Linked DNA regions of Kluyveromyces lactis. The protein of the gene in region 3 interacts with the protein of the main gene of each other region in a biochemical or structural test. Links are inferred from orthologs where the notes say so. Each region holds a gene or a part of one and is shown on either strand. Other genes may lie near its edges. The genes, in order: UBA1, UBR1, RAD6 and RAD18.

Evidence for each region.
Region 1: of the proteins of RAD6 (region 3) and UBA1, one has a biochemical effect on the other in vitro, tested with the Saccharomyces cerevisiae proteins (6 studies listed by BioGRID, with this or other methods). The link is inferred for Kluyveromyces lactis from reciprocal best matches to the Saccharomyces cerevisiae genes RAD6 and UBA1.
Region 2: the proteins of RAD6 (region 3) and UBR1 form a complex in vitro, tested with the Saccharomyces cerevisiae proteins (10 studies listed by BioGRID, with this or other methods). The link is inferred for Kluyveromyces lactis from reciprocal best matches to the Saccharomyces cerevisiae genes RAD6 and UBR1.
Region 4: the proteins of RAD6 (region 3) and RAD18 form a complex in vitro, tested with the Saccharomyces cerevisiae proteins (12 studies listed by BioGRID, with this or other methods). The link is inferred for Kluyveromyces lactis from reciprocal best matches to the Saccharomyces cerevisiae genes RAD6 and RAD18.

What each region holds. Positions count from the first base shown.
Region 1 is NC_006038.1:1,252,145-1,258,181, reverse strand, and holds UBA1 (E1 ubiquitin-activating protein UBA1), read left to right. Parts: upstream 1-2,526; coding exon 2,527-5,586; downstream 5,587-6,037. Other genes in the region: HOC1 (alpha-1,6-mannosyltransferase), read right to left, coding at 1-1,189; Ran GTPase-binding protein MOG1, read right to left, coding at 1,399-1,992; ATP-binding cassette a-factor transporter STE6, read right to left, coding at 5,713-6,037.
Region 2 is NC_006042.1:1,412,581-1,418,352, forward strand, and holds the start of UBR1 (E3 ubiquitin-protein ligase UBR1), read right to left. Parts: upstream 3,714-5,772; coding exon 1-3,713. Other genes in the region: putative ubiquitin-protein ligase UBR2, read left to right, coding at 4,635-5,772. UniProt on the Saccharomyces cerevisiae protein: Ubiquitin ligase protein which is a component of the N-end rule pathway. Recognizes and binds to proteins bearing specific N-terminal residues that are destabilizing according to the N-end rule, leading to their ubiquitination and subsequent degradation.
Region 3 is NC_006039.1:501,745-505,963, forward strand, and holds RAD6 (E2 ubiquitin-conjugating protein RAD6), read right to left. Parts: upstream 2,235-4,219; coding exon 1,740-2,234; downstream 1-1,739. Other genes in the region: KLLA0_C05588g (uncharacterized protein), read left to right, coding at 1-434; KLLA0_C05610g (uncharacterized protein), read left to right, coding at 1,000-1,551; protein kinase PKP2, read right to left, coding at 2,824-4,219. UniProt on the Saccharomyces cerevisiae protein: E2 ubiquitin-conjugating enzyme that accepts ubiquitin from the ubiquitin-activating enzyme E1 and transfers it to a E3 ubiquitin-protein ligase.
Region 4 is NC_006039.1:764,836-769,581, forward strand, and holds RAD18 (E3 ubiquitin-protein ligase RAD18), read right to left. Parts: upstream 2,296-4,746; coding exon 1,012-2,295; downstream 1-1,011. Other genes in the region: GTPase-activating protein SED4, read left to right, coding at 1-666; HCM1 (Hcm1p), read right to left, coding at 2,807-4,468. UniProt on the Saccharomyces cerevisiae protein: E3 RING-finger protein, member of the UBC2/RAD6 epistasis group. Associates to the E2 ubiquitin conjugating enzyme UBC2/RAD6 to form the UBC2-RAD18 ubiquitin ligase complex involved in postreplicative repair (PRR) of damaged DNA.

The DNA.
Region 1 (6,037 bases), on a different chromosome or scaffold from region 3:
AGCCGCGGAGTTTTTGCTGGTTCTTCCATGACTTCATTTTGGTATGTGTTGCGAAATGTAGCGCACTGTTAGTCAACTGTTTAGAATCCGTGTCTGAATCAGCTTGTGGCGCATTGAAACTAACTTCTGGGAACACTAGAATGTCTCCGACCAGTTTGGGTACCTTTAAGTTATGGAAATGTTTCCAAGTGATCTTGTCTAAAACACCACTTTGAACGTAATCGTTGAAATAGGTGAATATTACGTCGGTCCAAGCACCAGTTCCGGTCCAGCCCATAATGGTCAGATCGTTTCTTAGGTTCATGTTAAGTTCATCAGCGTATTTTTTTTCCAATGTAGTCTCAGTGACCCTTGCGACCATTTCACGGATCACTGGATGGCCTGGCTTGGCTTGTACGACCCAATTGCCAAATTGCAATCTTCTCAAATAAGAAGATCTCCAATCAGGAGTCTTCGAGTCGTGTTCAATACCAATAATCAACCCGATTTCCTTTGGAGACACGTTCTCTGGGATCCAATTGGGTACTGGTTGCAACAGATCAGTGTCGACATCTGCCCAGACACCACCACGCGCCAGCAAGATGAGGTACTTAAAGAAATCGATCTTTAAGATCGACGTAGGCAAAGAATCATAAGCTTCTATCACTTCAGGAACTGTAGCATAGAAACCATGCACAAACGCCGCAGCAGTATCGTCGTTGACAATCTCGTGAACGAAACCAGGGTTTTTATTAGCCCAGTTCCGTTCGTATTTTTTCAATGTAGGATCCAACCTGTCATCGTCATCGGAATACGGCCAACTTTGCCAAACAAAAGCGGGGAATCTCTGAGTGGTACCGTACTCAAACACAACGGCCAACTTCTCTCTCAAAGTCGCATGTCTGGCAGGTTGCTTCAACGCTTGAATCTTCTTCTCCAAGACTTTCCTCTCTCTATCAAACCTTCTTGCCTGATCGTCCTGTTTCTTTAGCATATCCTGGCTCAATTTCTCAAATTTCTCCATAATTTTACGGTCTGATTGCTCGGAAGAACCCATATTAATCTCCTTAGGTAAATTCTGTAATAGTGTCTGCAAATCTGCAGCAGTCGTACTGTAGTTAAGCATCTTGAAAAGAACCACCACTGCAAACACCAACGGAATTGCAATGGTGGCTATCCTTCTCCAGTTATTTCTCTTGCCCTTGGCCATCTTCACACGGATAGCGCAAGTTATGAACCACTAATCAACACCAGGGCTCCCGCTCGTAGTGATATACCGTTGAGAGTCTAGCTGATGGAGGAATAAGTATGTATTGTTTATCATTGATAATACCATTTCCATAGTTGAAACACTCATTCTTAAAGAAATTCATTACCCGGATATATAATTTACTATACTTTTACTATACCTGGTTTCGATCATGCAAATAACGATGGATCCTCCACTTTGAAGCTCGAGATCATGTCCCGAAGCAACGAATAGGACGCGTGCACCCTTTGAGGTAGCTTTTCCGGTGAGTTTTGCGCAATTGCCTGTTCCATGGCCTTCAGTTCTTGTTCCGATGAGATAGGCACGTGAACAGAAATGATGACGTCGGTATCGAATTGATCCAACCTGAGCAATGCAACACACATTACTACGGTTTCCTTCATCGATTGTTTGCCCCACTTGTATGCGGTCTCAACAACGATACATGTCTGTGATTTGAGTTCCGTTTGCTCTTGATGGTCAATTACTGTCCATTTCTGTGATCCGTTGAGTTCTGAAATTTCTGCCAAATGGATATCTAACGCTTTTCTGTCATTATTCTCTTCCACACGCTGCATTAGGTCTACGATCACACTTTCATCGAACCCGAGCCCATCCTCACTAGGTTCATTCTCACGTCTGCTATTCACGAACACTTCCTGTGTGTCTGGTACTTGCCTTAGCATTGAAGCATCAAGAAACGTCTTGGGAATGACGGTGCTGATGGCACCGCCGTACAATTCTTGTCTGATCCAATGGGACATGGAAAATTAGATATATAGGGTTGTCAGACTGTGGGTAGAGTAAACAATCGCGCTGTCCTTGCCAGTCGAAGTCTCTCCCTCTCTCTTTATCTCTTGAGAAGGACATCTCGTCTTCAAGGTAAGGGAAAATCAAATATCACATTTGACGAACATTCAAATATTATGTGGTGTGCTGGTGTAAATGCATTTATTGTATGCAATGATGGCTTCAAGCATGCCAAATGGGTTTAAATCAAGTGATTACTGTCTCGTATTAATTAATTATTTACGAAACAATTTATATGGGCTCTTGGAACCATACTATCACCTCAAATGCTTCACTTTCTGTCGTATTGTATTCGAACATCTTCCATTCATATCACGTGACTGAAAACTCAACCACTCACGTGACCGAACCCAAAGTGGCAAAAACCGAATTAATAAGGCCAACAACCTATAAACAACTACAAACCAGTTTCCTTAAAACAACAATAGCAACAAGAAGTGAACCGTTCGTTCATTTTGATCACATTGCATCACAAGTTAGTATCAGATATGACGAATATTAAGGTTGATGGCGAAGAAATTGACGAGAGCTTGTACTCTCGTCAATTGTACGTATTAGGTAAAGAAGCGATGTTAAAGATGCAACATTCGAACGTTTTGATCATTGGGTTAAAAGGTTTAGGTGTCGAGATTGCCAAGAACGTTGTCTTGGCCGGTGTTAAGTCTTTAACCCTTTATGATCCAAGCGCTGTCGCTTTACAGGATCTTTCTACGCAGTTTTTCCTGTCAGAACAAGATATTGGGCAAGCTAGAGATAAAGTATCACAGGCAAAATTAGCCGAATTAAACTCATACGTGCCAGTGAAGGTGCTAGAGGGGCTAGAAGACGTGTCACAATTGTCTGAATTCCAAGTAGTTGTTGTGACAGACACGATTTCACTAGAAGAAAAGGTGAAGTTGAATGAGTATACACACTCTCACGGTATCGGTTTCATTTCTACGGAGACCCGTGGGTTATTTGGTAACGTTTTCGTCGATTTAGGTGAAGAATTTACCGTTATTGATACTACTGGTGAAGAGCCAAAGACAGGTATTGTTTCTGATATCGAGTCGGATGGTACAGTGACCATGTTGGACGATAACAGACATGGGTTAGAAGATGGCAATTACGTCAAATTCTCCGAGGTGGAAGGTCTTGAGAAGTTGAATGATGGTACTCCTTACAAGGTCGAGGTGTTGGGTCCGTTCGCATTCAAGATTGGTTCTGTTAAGGATCTTGGTACATACAAGAAAGGTGGTCTGTTCACCGAGGTCAAGATGCCACAGAAATTAACGTTCAAGTCTTTAAGGGAATCTTTGGCAACACCAGAGTTCCTGTACTCGGATTTCGCCAAATTCGAGACTACTGCACAATTACACTTGGGTTTCCAGGCCCTACATCAGTTCCAAGTTAGACATCAAGGTGAATTGCCAAGGCCATTTTATGAAGAAGATTCTAATGAATTAGTTAAACTCGTTATAGATTTAGCTACACAACAACCTGAAGTGCTGGGTTCTGAGGGGAAAGTTGATGAAAAGCTCATCACAGAACTAGCTAACCAAGCAAGAGGTGATATTCCAGGTATCGTTGCTTTCTTCGGTGGTCTGGTTGCTCAAGAAGTGTTAAAGGCCTCCTCCGGTAAGTTCACTCCTATTAAACAGTACATGTATTTCGATTCCATCGAATCTCTACCAGATTCTGAAGATTTCCCAAGAAATGCAGATACCACGAAACCAATCAACTCTCGTTACGATAACCAAATTTCCGTATTCGGTTTGGAATTCCAAAAGAGAATCGCAAATTTGAAGGTATTCCTAGTGGGTTCAGGTGCGATCGGTTGTGAGATGCTCAAGAATTGGGCTTTACTAGGTTTGGCTTCTGGCCCTGAAGGTAAAATTATTGTTACCGACAATGACTCAATTGAAAAGTCGAATTTGAATCGTCAATTCTTGTTCAGACCAAAGGATGTCGGCAGAAATAAATCTGAAGTTGCTGCTGATGCTGTAAGTGCAATGAATCCTGATTTGAAGGGCAAGATCGAGCCAAAGATTGACAAAGTTGGTGCTGAAACAGAGAATATTTTCAACGATGCTTTTTGGAATCAATTAGACTTCGTTACCAACGCATTGGATAATGTGGATGCTCGTACCTATGTCGACCGTCGTTGTGTGTTCTACAAGAAACCTTTACTAGAATCGGGAACATTGGGGACAAAGGGTAATACACAAGTGGTTATCCCTAACCTGACAGAATCTTATTCATCTTCAAGAGACCCTCCTGAAAAGTCAATCCCATTGTGTACATTGCGTTCATTCCCTAATAAGATTGATCACACTATCGCTTGGGCCAAATCCCTATTCCAAGGCTACTTCTCTGACGCAGCTGAAAATGTTAACCTATACTTGACGCAACCAAACTTCGTAGAACAAACTTTGAAACAAGCCCCAGATGCCAAAGGTATCTTAGAATCAATTAGTGATTGTCTAAACAATAGACCTTACAACTTTGAAGATTGTGTCAAATGGGCAAGATTAGAATTTGAAAAGAAGTTTAGTTATGATATCCAACAGTTTCTTTACAACTTCCCTAAGGATGCAACAACATCCACCGGGGAGCCATTCTGGTCTGGTCCAAAGCGTGCCCCTGAACCATTAGTCTTCAATATCGAAAACCCAGATCACTTCCACTTCATCGTTGCATCTGCTAACTTGCGTGCGTTCAATTATGGTCTAAAGGGAGATGATGGTAAACCAGACATTAACTACTATCAATCCGTCCTATCAAAGCTTATAGTTCCTGAATTTATTCCAAAAGCTGACATCAAAATTCAAACCAATGACGATGAACCAGATCCAAACGCGAACAACCAGCTTGGTGGCGATGTCTTAGAAAACTTGGCAGCTTCTTTGCCAGATGCTTCTACCTTAGCTGGTTTCCAACTAATCCCAGTTGAATTTGAAAAGGATGACGATACAAACCATCATATTGAGTTCATTACTGCTGCATCGAACAACCGTGCTCTAAACTACTCTATCGAACCAGCTGATCGTCAAAAGACTAAGTTCATTGCTGGCCGTATCATTCCTGCCATCGCTACAACCACTGCTTTGGTTACAGGATTGGTCAACCTAGAACTATACAAAGTCGTCGCTGGAAAGACAGATATTGAACAATACAAGAACGGGTTTGTGAATTTAGCTCTTCCATTTTTCGGTTTCTCAGAACCAATCGCATCACAAAAGGGTAAATACAATGATAAGACTTTCGATAAAATATGGGATAGATTCGATATTCAAGGTGATATCACATTAAGAGAGTTGATTGATCACTTCAACAAGGAAGAAGGATTGGAAATTACAATGGTCTCCTACGATGTTTCTTTACTATACGCATCATTCTTCCCTCCAAAAAAACTAAAGGATAGAATGGATCTTCCAATAACTGAGGTTGTAAAATTAGTCACGAAGAAGGAAATCCTCAGTCACGTTAAGACCATGATTTTGGAATTCTGTTGTGAAGATAAGGAAGGTGAAGACGTGGAGGTTCCATATGTCACCGTCCATTTGTAATGATTCTAATTTTGTCTGATACCAGATGTAAATTCGTAATTCTATCTCTATGATGCTAGGCTTAATGATATAAACTTACTTAGAAGAAATCATACATGTGAATCAATCGTTATTTAAAATCCTCTGTTAATATCTAGTGCACGAAACTATCCGGTATAGTTCGCCTCTAGATTCGAAGAGCTCTGCATAGGATCCCTCTTCTTTAACTTTCCCTTTTTTCAAAACAAGAACCCTATCGCAAATTTGCATCAATTGCTCTGAATGAGTAATAACAATCACCGTAACATTCTTCAGAACAGTCCTGATGAGCTCTGCAATTGCAAATGAATTAGCTGCATCCAGTGCAGATGTGCATTCATCTAGTATGATGATTTTCGGCTGGCGTAACAACGTGCGGGCGATAGATAATCGTTGGGCTTGACCTCCGGACATTAACCCATCATGAACGCGC
Region 2 (5,772 bases), on a different chromosome or scaffold from region 3:
TCGTTATTGTCAAAGCCATGCCATGGTTTGTATATTTCCATTGGCGTAGGGTTGGACGATAGAAAGACAGGAGAGTAGTTTTGATAAATTGGGATAACAAAAAAATCATCTGACACATCGTCATGACAAAGAGAGCAGTGAAATTCATTGAGTTCTCCTGCCAGATCTTCTCCGTCCATATCCACATCTTCGTCATTACCAGCACTGTACTCCTCGTGCTTGTCCATGAATTTTTTCTGCTGACGGGAGAATCTATTCATAATCTGTTGTTGACGATTTTTGGCTAACCTTCTTTTACGCTCCTGCTCTGTCTCCTCGAAATTTACACCTTGATTTGCTTTTCTGATTTTGTAGTCCGCGATGTACTTTGTTCCGAAACACTCTGTTAGAGATTCTAAAACTGCCGTTGGGCGCTTCATGATCATGTTATCTAGAAGGTAATCAGCAGTTGCCACGACATTCTCAGAAAACGATCCGCTTTCAGAGTCAACAATGCTCAATAACAAATCACATATTGGTTTGCTAATATACGCCTCTGGCAAAGAATCTTTACCATTGACCATTTCGTCGTCTCTAAAAATGGCATGAATTAAATGAAGTAGCTCGTAAGTAAACGAAAAACTGGAATCGGAGACAGCCAACTTTAATAGCTTGAATATCAACTTCGCAAAGAGATTTGTTCTTGTGAAGCTTCCTAGTTCTCGCGCACATGGGTCTAATTCATCTAATTCAAGTAATTGGGGTTTGACAATTATTTTGGCCCGTTTTTCCTTGCTATCAGCTAAATGTGACTTAACAATCGTGGCACTATGTTCAAAATCATTTCCCATATTCAGTAACCGCAGGGAATCTATTCTCTTGTAGAGTTCCTTCTTTAGTTTGAAAACACCATTATCTTCGAGCCCTTTGGGCTCAATGTACGTAGAAACTTCTTCGAGAACTGTATCAAATTGGGAAACACTTTCAGTAAGGTAATCGGGTATATCGTTCAATAAGTCAGTGTATGATAGTGGTTCAGCGTATAGTTTATAAATAATGGCATTCTTAATGTTGTACAATTGTGTTTCTTCCAGGGTATCGAACTTTTTATAAAAGTCTCTTTCCACCAATATCTGATATAGGAATGCAACGAATTGTTGAATAATCGACGATATTTTATCATCGTACACTGTCTCTGTCGAGGGAACACTTCCATCAAACCAGTCAAGTAATTCCCACCTATCTAACATGTTATAGATGACTCTTTGAAAATCGTTTTTTTCAATTAGAAACGCCAATTGATTAAGTTGTATGTCTCTGCTATAGGAGCTCATTTCAGGATTGTTCTTGTAATATGCTGACTGGTGAAGAACTGACATACCATTTCTAACCCAAAATCCTATATCGATTTGCGAACATAAGACGACAGATCTCAAAGCAAAATCCGAAATAACTAGATAGTCTTTGGATTGAGATAAAACTTGAATTGACACCTGTAAGGGAACATGCTGCACAAGGAAAGAAAACAAAGTATGAACGGGATTCATAAATGAAACTCGTTCTTTGCTGATTTGGAATTTTATGATTTCAAAGTCTTTGTATAATTTGTATGACAAGTTTCTATGTCCCAAAAATGAATCCAATAAGTTGATGGCCCCAATAAGCAATCGCTGGTCAATGTGATCCTTTGATTGCTGCAAAACTTTATCAAAAGTCTGAATGATGCTATAGACTGATGTCGTATACTCCAAATATGGAATAAAATGCTGGTCTTCCCTTAAAACATGCTCTCCTTCCTTTCTTTTAATCTTCCATGCGCCGTTGAAGAGTTTACATAGTGTTACAATCATGATAAACTCTCCCGGTTTCAACAATAGATTAGGGTCAGTGATTTTACTGAGTAAAGTTTCTACAGCATACAATCCTTGTTTGAATGATATACTGTAGCTTTTAGAAGGGTTACTTCTCTGAACCCGTTGCCAAACCAACGTGCCCTCATCCATGGTAGAAAAGTCAACAAAAACGTCAATCACTGACCATATGACGTAGTTGAAATGTCCACTGTGAAAAATACTGTAAGCCGTAGTTGGGCAGGTGAATAACTGAACGACACTCTCCCTTAATGATGTAAGTTGAGGTTCACGATCCATGAAGGTCACACTTCGTGTCATGTGTGGGAAAATTTCGACTAGCTGATCAGTAAACATTGGTTTGTGCACAGCACTTGATGCTAGTGTTGGTATAATTAGATCCTGAACTATTTTTCTAAGCTTCTTCCAGTACCTGTTTTCGAGGAACAACACGTATTGCAACCTAGAATTAGTATATTCATGATGATCTTCTGCTATTACTTTATTCAAGATGGGGGAAATAGCAGATATGTCTCCAGGATCTAGGGATTTATGTCTTCCAAGAGGGATCTTGACACCTTCACCCAAAACCGAATGATCCGCATACAAATATGGATCATCACTCAGGTAACTATCTGAAAAGTAATCTCTAACAACTGAGGTCATATCGATAGACTGATAAAAAGGTTCGTACTTGGAACATAGAACTTTGCCTATAGCATTTCTGAAAAGGCTTTGGAAAGTAGAGTTTGGGATATTCAAACAATCATTAATCCACATTATGCTATACTTACAGGCTTCTTGATGTAGATATTCATACCATTGAGTTATTGTGCAGCTCAACCCGTTACTTTGAACGGAAAAGAATCCTCCCATTAAAGATGCGATATCAGCGCTGCATCTCAACAATGATCTCCCCTCAGAATCGATCTTCGCAGTCAATAAATCAATATGTTTGTTATCAGGCCCACCTTGTCTAATGGCAGCAGAAGCCTGCGAATAGTTATGAAATTCATCGTTGTATACCAAAATAGCATAATCTTTAAGTGTACTCAAGGGATCTAACGATGTAGATGGCGTTTGTTGCTGGGACTCCTCTTCGTCCATGTATTGATTTCTATATGCCAATCGCCTCAGCATGTCAGCTTGTTCATTATATTTCCCGTTCTGGATGAAGTATCTAAGTTTCGCAATGAGTGGTTTTTGAATTGTTGTTAATGGCTCAATGTTTTGGTTGAAGACATCGATGAAATGATCAAATAATTCTATTAGGACGCTTTCTAGCATCTTAGAAATCTTGCCATCATGGTCGTCAAACTCGTCTTCCAAACGACCATTATCTTCAGCACCTTTACAGTTCAATTCATGGTTCCATGCCTCCTTGTCACCACAATCACATATACCGTTATTGAATTCTGTGCAGATCGACGTATATACGTGATGACCAACGTGATCCTTTGGATTGAAACAGTTTACACATAGCACACAAGTATCATCAAATGAACACTCCTTACAACGGTAGATCGGTTCGCCTACTCTAAACTTCGCACCACATATTCTGCCAGCGTGGTTGAATTTCGAATGCCCGCCATTCTCATCGATCTTATACCAGGGTTTCGAACTCAGCTTGATTTCCATTGCTTGGTCGACATTCTTGGGGAATTCACGCTCATTTGTAGCAGTAAACATATGCGGAAGAAGCCTACCACTGTCTGAAATCATATAGTAATAATACCCATATATGAAACTCTTGAGCTCTTTATCCATAACTGCTCTCTCTGCAGATCCCTTTATATCTTTGAATTCAGGCCGAGAATGAATGCAGCCTAAGGTTCGTCCAACATGTTGCCGCAAAAACGACTCTGGGTCAGTATCGTTAATCATATTACCTTAGGGATTGTTCTGATATTGCTATGTTGATGATCAGTTGTTTATACGACAAATCAACCTGTATTGAACCTTTGTCAACTGTGCATTGGCAAGGAAAGTCAAAACTCTTTTCTGATATCGTATTCCTTTTTTTTTTATTGAATCTTTCAGAAGATAAAAATGAATCCTCTCAATGTATGTGGAATTTGACCGAAGCAAAGTGTAAGAAGTACCCTAGAAATAATCATTTCGGTTCCATAAACACAATTGAATCATTTAATAAGCAGGTTATGTTTGGTAGCAAGTGGTACACTGACCATCAATACCTTCTTCTTCAAATAGGTTGTCAAAATAATCTAAATAAAGCATTTCTTTCATGTCTTCGATTTGTAATCCAACGTTGTTCTCAGCACACAATTTAGCGAAGTTATATAAATAAAAAAAACTACGATTAAGTTAGGATTCCAGCTGCAGTTCAACGTCTCGATCCAAAGAAGCTCGCCTGTTTCAAAGTCGTCAGCCCTATAAATCCCTGACTTTTGGTTCAAAAGTAAGTCACGTGACTGATATTCGGTCATGTGACCACGGTCAAACATCAAAATATTTACAATAATAGTCCCTCTATACACTCCATAGACACTACCCAACTGATGCTAACTCCATTGTGATTTTACATCAGGTATCCTAAGATATTCTTTTTTGTGCTCTTCGTACTAATGTTTAAAGGTGGCAAATGCCTCGAATACTTGCTGAAACGAAAAACTGAAAGTAAGACAAGCTTAAAAATGTAAATAGTAAATAGATAAATGGATGCACGTTATATCAAGGGGCGCGCTTCTTGTTTTTGCTCTGTTAATAGTGTTCATTTTAGGTTTGAATGACTAGCAAGCCAAGACCAGAAAGAAGCAGGTATTCTTTTTAGCGAGTCCATTTAAGATGGGCGAATCAGTGCGATGTCTGCGTGATTTTTTGGTTCACTTTGCTCATTTCTGCAGGTACAGATACAATGATATGTGTTCGTTTTACCTTTGGAAGGTTCTACTCACCTGTATGAACCATTGTAATGAGGAAATAAACTGGGAAGATCTTACTCATGTTTTTGGGTTAAATCAGTGGGAAATGGGCGATTTTGGGAAGATCAAATTGAGATCTAACTGGCGTGAGTCACTCATACCGAAAAGGAAACATAACGATCATCGAGGTTCGCAGTGTTCGAAACAGTGCCATGGCACTGAGACCGTTTACTACTGCTTTGATTGTACAAAAAATCCGTTGTATGAAATTTGTGAAGATTGTTTTGATGAGAGTCAGCACATAGGCCACCGATATACATCACGCGTAGTGACGCGGCCAGAGGGGAAAGTATGCCATTGCGGCGACATATCTAGCTATAATGATCCCAAGAAGGCTTTTCAATGTAGGATACAGAGTAACAATGCAGATATTGATGTTACGAACCTACAACTGTACAACGATATGTGGATTTCAACGTTCTCGCAGGTACTCGATTTTATTATTGACTGTTGTTTTGCTTGGATGGATGGCGATGAGAAGATAAAACATGAAGCTGTGGAGTCCATACCGATCAAAGACTCTGTAGGAAATGTAGAATCATTTTCACAAAAGTATGTTCTCGTCTTATACCAGCATGAATGTAACATACATGTGCAAGATGTTGCAAGGAAAATTTCAAGGGCATTGAAGAAGGATATCTCGTTTGGTACGTTCGTACTCTCACAGTTTGATCAAGATGAGCATTTCACCGTTATTGCCGAATCAACCAATAAGGCTTTTATGCTACGATTGAAGCAAGAACTTGAATTACAAGATATACCGACCCATTTGATGAATGAGTCCAACGTTTTTAAAAGGTACATGATAAGTGAACTAGTACGATGGTTACATCATTTTGCCGTTCATAACCCTTCAGTTTTATCTGGAAAATTGTCTCTTAGACTTGCATACATGGATCAATATGTATCCAACCTATTGGCCGTGAAGCCATTCAAAATCAACATTCTTGGGAATTTCATCGTACCACATCAAAAGCATAACTCATTTCCCTGGATCAAAC
Region 3 (4,219 bases):
AAAGAATCTCGTCCATCGCGGTAATAGACCCGCAAGGTAACCTTTTGGGAAATATTTCGGTCACAGACGTCAAGCACATCACAAGAACTTCCCAATATCCGTTGTTACAGAATACCTGTTTACATTTCATAAGTGTTATCCTAGATAAGAGAGGTATTGAAATGGGTAAAGATTCATTCCCTATCTTCCATGTTTACCCTACATCTTCTCTTGCAAGAACAATTGCCAAGTTGGTCGCAACAAAGGCTCACAGATTGTGGATCGTACAACCTTCCGGAGATACTCCAGTAGATAGCGAAAAGGATAAACGTTCCGGGAAACTCATCGGAGTGGTCTCATTGACGGATATCTTAGGGTTATTGGCAAGACATCAAACTGAATTCAAAAGAGTCGATCCACTTGCTGCTAGAAGACAAAGAGGAAGCATCGTATGATACATATGTGATTATAATTTTTTCACCAGAGTCAAAAATCAATCGTACCTATAATCACTTCTTCTTAACTTCTATTCCTATCGGATCCCCTTTTTTGGCCTTGGTGAGCCATATTCTCTTTTCTAACAGGAACATTATTCACCAGCAATATTTATCGTGATTTATTACTACTTCTCTTTAGGCAGTTGTGGTTAACTTCGCATGTACATTTAATTTCATCTTTCCTCCCTTTTATCTTTTCATCGAATAGGCTCGTTCTTATTTAGGTACACTATATTATAGTTTTAGATATTATATTGTAACAGTAGATCATAATTAGGACTATGGGACGAACCAGAAATTCATGTTGTACAGATTCAAACAACAGGTAGTCCATTATTCCCTCTTCTCTACAAAAGCATTCTGGAGTTAGTTAGCTTTACCCATTATCAATTACCAATTTGATCTTGACGAAGAAAAATGAATATTTAAGCTTACATTATACTTTTGGATATACTGATGTTTGAATGATTAAGGAAGGGGAAAAACGGCAGCACAAACTTATAAAGCACCAATTAAGAAGGAGATGCCACGTCCGGTACCCAAGTCTTTACTGCTACGTCAAGCCAGACGTCTTTCTCCGGCAACTCAAGCACCAACCCCAACATTAGGTGCTTTAATATCACAATTCACACTTTCAGATAATTTCGATGAGACAACTTTAGAAGAACAATACGAACAACTGAAGCCTCTTCTGACCAGTATAACATTGACAAATGTGCCCTTTGACACCTGGACTTCCAATGATATTAACGTACTAAAACACCATCTTGATGCAAAGGCACCGCTGCCTTGGAAATTTTTAACCGATGACGAAAAACGAGTGTGGTATCTTTTGGGGTTTGGAACTTGGGGTCCGCGGAAAGAGTTCAATAAGGTAAAACCTAATGACATTCAGTGGAATGCGAATGCTAAGGTAAGTTCCAATCAAAGCGATGTTCCTAAGGTGGTGACACCTATACCGATTTGTTCAAGTGACAGAATCGAATGGGAAAAGAAAAAGAGACAACTAGATCCGCTAACAATATCAGTGGGCGTATTCGCCTCGATGATCACTCTCACAGCATTCCTTGTATAAAGAACTATTCGCATGGATATGACAATTTGTCATTTTGATTAAAGCGGTAACGGGTTGAGATTATTATGTAGATATTTGTATGCGTATATATATATATATATATATATATATATTTCGTGTTACTTGGATGCTTCTCGCTCACAAGGAATACTCCGGTTTAAGAAATTGGATCTAATCAATTTCGATTATCATTCTTCATCTTCGTCTTCGTCTGCCATGTCTTCCATATCATCTTCCCATGACTTTTCTACGGTCTCTTTCACACGTTTCACGTACTGAGATTTGTGATCCTGGAATAAAGTTGCTGCTTCAACGTTAGCAGGCGATGCAGGATTGGGATCATTAAATAACGACTGAATTGACGTTAGAATCGATGCAACGTCATATGTCGGAGTCCATCTATTCTGAAGAATGTCCAAGCAAATCTCACCATTGGCATACACGTTAGGATGGAACATCTCACTCAAGAATTTGACGTGCGGCGGTTTATTTGGATATTCTTCATCGAATTCTAGTAATAATCTAAACGTTCCATCTTCATACGGCGTATCTGCGGGGCCGATAATCATTGCATTCCAGATCATCACATTATCAGGTAGCGGCGACGCAGATACGCCTGGTGGCGAGTCTTCTTTCATTCTTTTGAAGTCTCTCATCAACCTCCTCCTAGCTGGCGTAGACATATTGTAGTATTCTTTCTTAAAACTTATTCCCTTAACACTTAAACAGGGTTCTTGAAAAGTGGCTATAATTTCGTTTAACCAATATTCAATGATTAATTTCTATCAGTACAATGACAATGTTTAACAAACGTCAGTGGTTCCTATAATATTTCGGTTTCCCAGTTGTAAGACTATCCTCTGCTATATCCCACTAATTGTTCAACCAGAGACAAGTTCTTAATAATTATTCGTAATCGGCGTCTCTTATTTCTACAGGAAATCTCAATTCAGTAAAATCAATTTTAAAGAACCACAATAGTATATTTCTTAACGAAAGTAGCTCCAGTAACAAATAATCAAACACACAGAACACTACTTGCCGTGTCTTTAACCACTGGCACCTTTCGTTTAGTCCAATAGTTATTCCAAACGCATCCTGTATCTATTTCAACTTTCTTTCGAAATGTGGCGAAATCTATTTGTGCGGGTAATAATAAAACGCTTTCCTATGCCAAACGACCATAAGTCATCGAATGATGATATAAATAAGTAAATATCGGTATATAGAGTGGTTACTATACATTACTATAAGCATTGCTAACTTGGTTTACTAAACTCTATCCAATTGCAATTTGTCCGTATGCCTCATCAAATTTCCTAGTTTGAGAACGGTATCGGTACCGTAACCTTGAATAGAATGTACGGTCAAATCACCGTTCCAATATTCGGCATATACTTTGCATAGTGCGAGACCAATTCCAAGTTTATATCTGGGAGATCGTTTGAGAAGCTCCATTAGCGGTTGTCCAACTTTAAATTTACCTTTCGTCAAATTGTTTTCTGACATCCGATCTAGCGATGTTTGTCTGTAACGATCTGATTTTAGATGAGCACCGTTAGAAGAATCATATAACGACAAAGTCTGCAATCCAGGCAAGTGATGGAAGTTGTCTAGGGATTGCTTGGCTAGCTCTTTTGATTTACCAAAGGACCATATCTGCTTATCAGAATGTGGCACTCCACCACCTCTATCACTGATTCTGAAAAGATAACTTTGGTCATTCGATATTATAGTTACTGTCACCGGAGGTGCCTTTTCTAGTCCCAATCGTATGGTCTCCTTGACAGTCACTTCGTAGCTGTTTCTTAAGATTTCTCCCAATAGGAACTTTAGATGCGATGGTAGGAAATAGAATTCTAGTTCAGTGTCCCCGTTGATAATCAATTCGGGCATCTTGATGCCCGCAAAATACATATTATTGATGTATGCCTCACATACTTCCCTCGCACCGTTCAAGTACTCCTTGGCGTTACATTTTTGGAAAATATCTCCCAAAACAAGTGTGTTTTCCTTCTTTCCACTTAAATAATTGGATGTGATACTCAAATGTTCTTCTACGATCAACCTTCTACTAATCCGGGCTCTCAATAAATCCGAAATCAATGCATCCATTTTATCCTGAGGGTACAAATCCAGGATTCTACATTCCAAAGCACCCATAATCAAATGAGGCAAGTTCAAAGAGTTGAAATCTGATAAAATCGCATGTAGAAACTGACAAAACTTCAAATTGTCCTTCTCGTCCTTGATCTCCGGGAACTTTCTGAACCTTTCAAAGATGTTATAATATGATTCATACACCTGATTGAAATGGAAATTATTCACTACATCGAAAGGCAAGTTTTGCAATAGGTCTAATTTATGTGCGATACGAACACATAGCTCCTCTTTCACAAATTTCCCAGAAGAAATAATTTTCATCTTCGTTAACTTACTTGAGTCATCGTAATACTGCGCCAACTGTTTCAACGACATTGGATGTGGTTTCTTCTGCAAATACTTCTTAACCAAGACATTATCATTATGGTAGTAATGGTACTGGTTGATATATTTTGATTCTGTGGGATATGCGCTTAAAGTGCTGGAAATGTAGGGTGCAAGCTCATTGATGGACCTCGTTGCAGAATACCGCGAAAAATCAGGCACCTGCGATATATCCAATACT
Region 4 (4,746 bases), about 260 kb from region 3:
GATGATGAAAAGCAGACAGAAACATCTTCAGAACTACTAATGGTGAGTGATACAACAGAAGCTACATCTTCTGTCGAAGCATCCATCTCATTTAGCGAATTCTCTGATGATGATATTGACAACGTTTCCTCTTTATCCGAATTGATAGAAGAGACATCGAATACAGAAACCGTAGAAACTACATCACTGCTCGTTGAAGATGAGTCCGAGCCATCACTGTACACCAAAGACAATGTAAGCGACACTGCAACAGCAACGGAAATATTGGCATCAAGTGTTGCAGAGGAACTTGAATCTGTTGAGTCAGAAATTGCAAGTGAAGATCATATCTACGTCGCTCATGAAGTCCAATCAGAAGATCATTATCCAGGTACCTCATTACAAGCGGAAGAAGATACCGCTACGCATATCGATCAAATAAAGTCTAACCTTGACGTAGAACTTGTCACATCTACAGTCGTTGTGACAGAAATTGAACTGTCTGTAGCCACTGATAAAACAGAACTCGAAGAATCAGACATTTCATCTGCCGAAAAGGATACAGAAGCTAAATCGAGCTTCTCATCCAGCACTACTATTTCTTCCTCCATTACCAAAACAGCGGATCAGGAAAGCGAATTCATAGTTACTGTTTCCGAAGAATTAACAACATCGGGAAGTTCATAATCGGCGATGGATGATTCAATTGCAGCTGCAGACTTAAACGAGCTTAAGGCTGTCGGTAATATTGAATCAATAGAAGCTTTTGAGTCACCTGTAATCTCTTCGGACATATTGGACACTGAATTAAACCCTACCAACGCTGAAATCGAAGAAAATATTATGGGTGCCCAAAGTGATAGCAATGTCGAGGAAACAAGAGTACAATCAGCCCCATCGCAATCTGGAGGTCGCAATTTAGAGGGAAGAGAAGATATCCTTAATGAATCTCCTGACATCATTCAAGATGAATTATAGATACTATATACTGATATACGATAAATAATGAAAAGTTGAGAATATTAGATTCTATTAATTATTCTCTGACGTTTGATCAATCTTTAGTATAGGTTCCGAACTTACTTCTGAGTTCGCATCACTCTTCTGGGAGAGCTCTTCCTTCTTCATCTTTGCAAGTTTATCGGAACGTTGTGCTTCCAATTTTAATGCTTTAAACGTTGACGTGTGATGTCTCATCCAACCTTTTCTATCAAATCTATCGCTTTTAAAAAGTTTGATCATGGCACTTATAGCATTAGTACGTTTATTACCCCTGAGAAGGTTAGTTATGCTATTGCTATCAGAAGAATGGTCTGTATTGTGCTTAGCTTCCCAACTGGATAGACGACGTTTAAGTTCATTTTCGTCAACAGGATCAATTGAATCTAAAAAATTACTATTCCATAACATTTCGTAATGCTTGTATCGCGCTACCATTTGCTGTTTGGTGCCATTTGATGGTAGAGCCAAAGAAGCAAGCTTCTGTTTCAATTGTGTCATAGATAAAGACTGAAAATCCAATCTTGGTAATCTATTTTCCTTTTGCTGCAGCAGCCCAGAATTTAAGTACCTCTCGTTATGGTACGTGATATCCTTCTTTTCTTTTACCTCTAGCAAATGTGAAGACGGCAGGCTAGTCTTCTCTTCTAGTGGTTGATGCGAAGATTCCATCGAAGGGGAGGGTGTACGTTCATCCAAAATCTCAAAAGAATCCGATCTCTCCAAACTACTACCTTTGTTCAAACACTCATCAATATGCGAACCTTCTAATTCTGAAAGCGGCAGGTGCTTGGAGCATATAGGACATTGTGCCTTCTTCTCTTGCCGCTGTGGATGATCCGTTTTCTTTTTCATTAACAACGTTGTTATACCATCATGTTTTCTCTTTTTAGTACTTACTGAAGATAAAGATGGGCTATCTGGAGTACCCCTCTTTGTACCTACAGATGTATCTGCCTCGTCAGATATTATTATTTCATTATCTTTTTCCTCTTCCTGAGATGATATTGTCAAGTGTTTCTGCAAAGAACCTCGCAGTTTCACGTAACTTGAACAAATCTCTTGTACTAGAAACTCTTTTTGTAGCATAGACTCAGTGAGGTCACTGAGACATAATGGGCATTTGCTCTCTTTCTGAAGGTACTTTCTTATGCAAATGGAACAGAAACTATGACCGCATGGCGTCAAGACCGATGCCTTTAAAAAATCTTTGCAGATATGACATCGAAGAAGTGAATCGAGGTCAGTAAGTTGCGGAACACTCGTGTGAAGAAAATCACGAGGATTCGATATAGTTTCAGGTACACTTAGCTTCATGACAGTTCTGGTTGATTCCTCTGCACTCCAGCATTTAATGTTTGATACTTTTCAGAAGGTAACTCGGATTATCTGCTTTTAGCTTCTTTTTATCGTATTTTAGTAATTTACAAAGTATGGCATAATATTGAAGCACTATTCAGAGCTAATTAAACAACGATGAAACGAAGTCAGATCAAATAACAAAGCCATATGGTCTATCAGGATAATATCCTTTGATTGTAAATATCGGTTAGAAGGAAATGTAAGAATTAAATATGATTGATATAATGATACATACATTAGCAATAACTATTGCAAATAAAAATACTTTAAAAAGGACACCAATGAATAAAAGAAAGGCGCGTACACTACAATAATTGAACGCAGGAATGAAATAAATTGAAAGAAATAAAGGAGACAAATAACTCAGCCATATAAAGAAACCCAAGCGTCAGGCAGATTGTGAAGAAAAACAAAAAATATGGTCATCGAGATAACGACAGACTCTATATGAAAAAGAAAGCAAACATTAGTTCATCCCATCAAAAGGAGGGTCCAAATCGTTTTTTGTTACCTCTTCTCGATAGCTATCTACTTCATCATTGCTGTTACAATGAGCAATCGCCCTTTTCCACACTGAACAAACATCAACACCAAAAAGAATGTTTGATGAATATTTGGAGTGATCAATTAATCCTGATTGACTGGATTCCTTGGGAGAAGTTTGATCTCTGAGACTCAACTTTCGGGGAGAATCAATACATTTCTTTTCTGTGTCATACTGTATCATACAATCATCTATAGATTGATTGATTACGTTTCTGAAAAACACTGGTGATGACGCATAATAATCTTCAAATAGACGAGACGGGCTTTGCCAAGTTCTGGTAGACGCCGGTGGGTTCAGACCATCTTTATTGAAATCTTTAGGTGTTGAAAAAATATTGAATTTCAGAGGAGTGACAGAGCTTTCCCTAATAGGTGTCTTTGAATTTTGCTGGTTAACTGATGGCAGCTGCAGCTTGTTCATCGGAGATACGGGTTCAAATGATGTGTTGAAAGAACACGAATATTTTTTGAATTTAGGAGAAGAGACGGCAGCAACCATTAAATCATCATATTCATGGTTATGTGCACTGACAGAGCGATGGTTAAATTTCAACGGGCCCACCAGATGACTAGAGTCTTGTCTTTTGACCATATTTTCATCTTCGTAATACAGGAAGTCTTTATCCGTAGCCGGAAACTGATGGCTTCCATGACCAGCAGCTTCGGCGTGATCACCTAATCGTGGCGATGAAGGTATATTGGTTATTGAAGTTGATTCTTCGTCACCGTCACTGCTTTGATCCAAGGAAGTATCACCCGCGTCACCAATATCACTCGATTTGTCATCCATGGTAGAAATTGAAAATGACTTATTTTTCCTTTTCGACTTATTGTACGAGGCAATTGATGATCCATTAAAACTGGACGTGGTACTGCCAGCTTCATAACCATCATCCAAATTCACACTCTTGAATCTTTGTAGCTTTACCTTAAAATCATCAATGGAAAAACTTTCATCATTTTTGAAGAACTTGGATTCATACCCAGGTTTAATTTCCCAGAAATGTCCCTTCCCGTCCAAAGATTTACCACCTTTAACAAACGCTTCGTTCAAAGACAAGTTGTGCCTAATAGAATTCTGCCAACCAGCATCTTCTCGCTTATAATAGGGGAAATGAGAGGATATCCAATAATATATTTGGGAAAGTGTTAGCTTACCGGTATCTGATTGCAATATCGAAAGAACAATCATCATTGCATAAGAATAAGGCGGTTTCTTATTTGGATCTTGCAAGACAACAACGCGCGAATCATCAGATAAATGTTCCAAAAACTCTTCTACCGTATTGACTCCACTAGAGCGACCTTGATCACTTTTCATTCTCTTGGCGCGCTGCGGTTTAATTGGTGAAGACAACTCTGGTGACAATGGGTTGATTTTCCTCATTTTGTAGTTAGGCGTCCTCGATTCTGATATACTAGACCGATGAGTGAATGAATGTGGAGGGGTCAATGCACCCTGGTCCAATTCATACTGCTCTGCATCTTTCTCATTCCACACCGCTGCTGCTTCCGAATGCAGCTTTTTCCTGTTTAATGCTACATCCTTCAAAGGTTGCCTTTGAGTCTCCGTTCTACTCATATTTCCAGAACTGTTTATAACAAAGTCGCGTAAATGAAATTAATTTTATCTTTTCTTCTTTGACGCTTCTTATTAGTCTGATTAATTTCGTTGACTTCAGGATTGAAACTCTTTCTATTGTCGGCCGCTCCTTCTGTTATAATTCTATCATAAACTAGAGTCGGTCTCTAGTAAATAATGTTACTCACGTTATTTCCTTGGTCTTGCTGTGCTTCAATCGTTGTGCATATAAATAAAGCAGACAGACACGCGCACACTAAAAGCTGAACCTCTTTTAC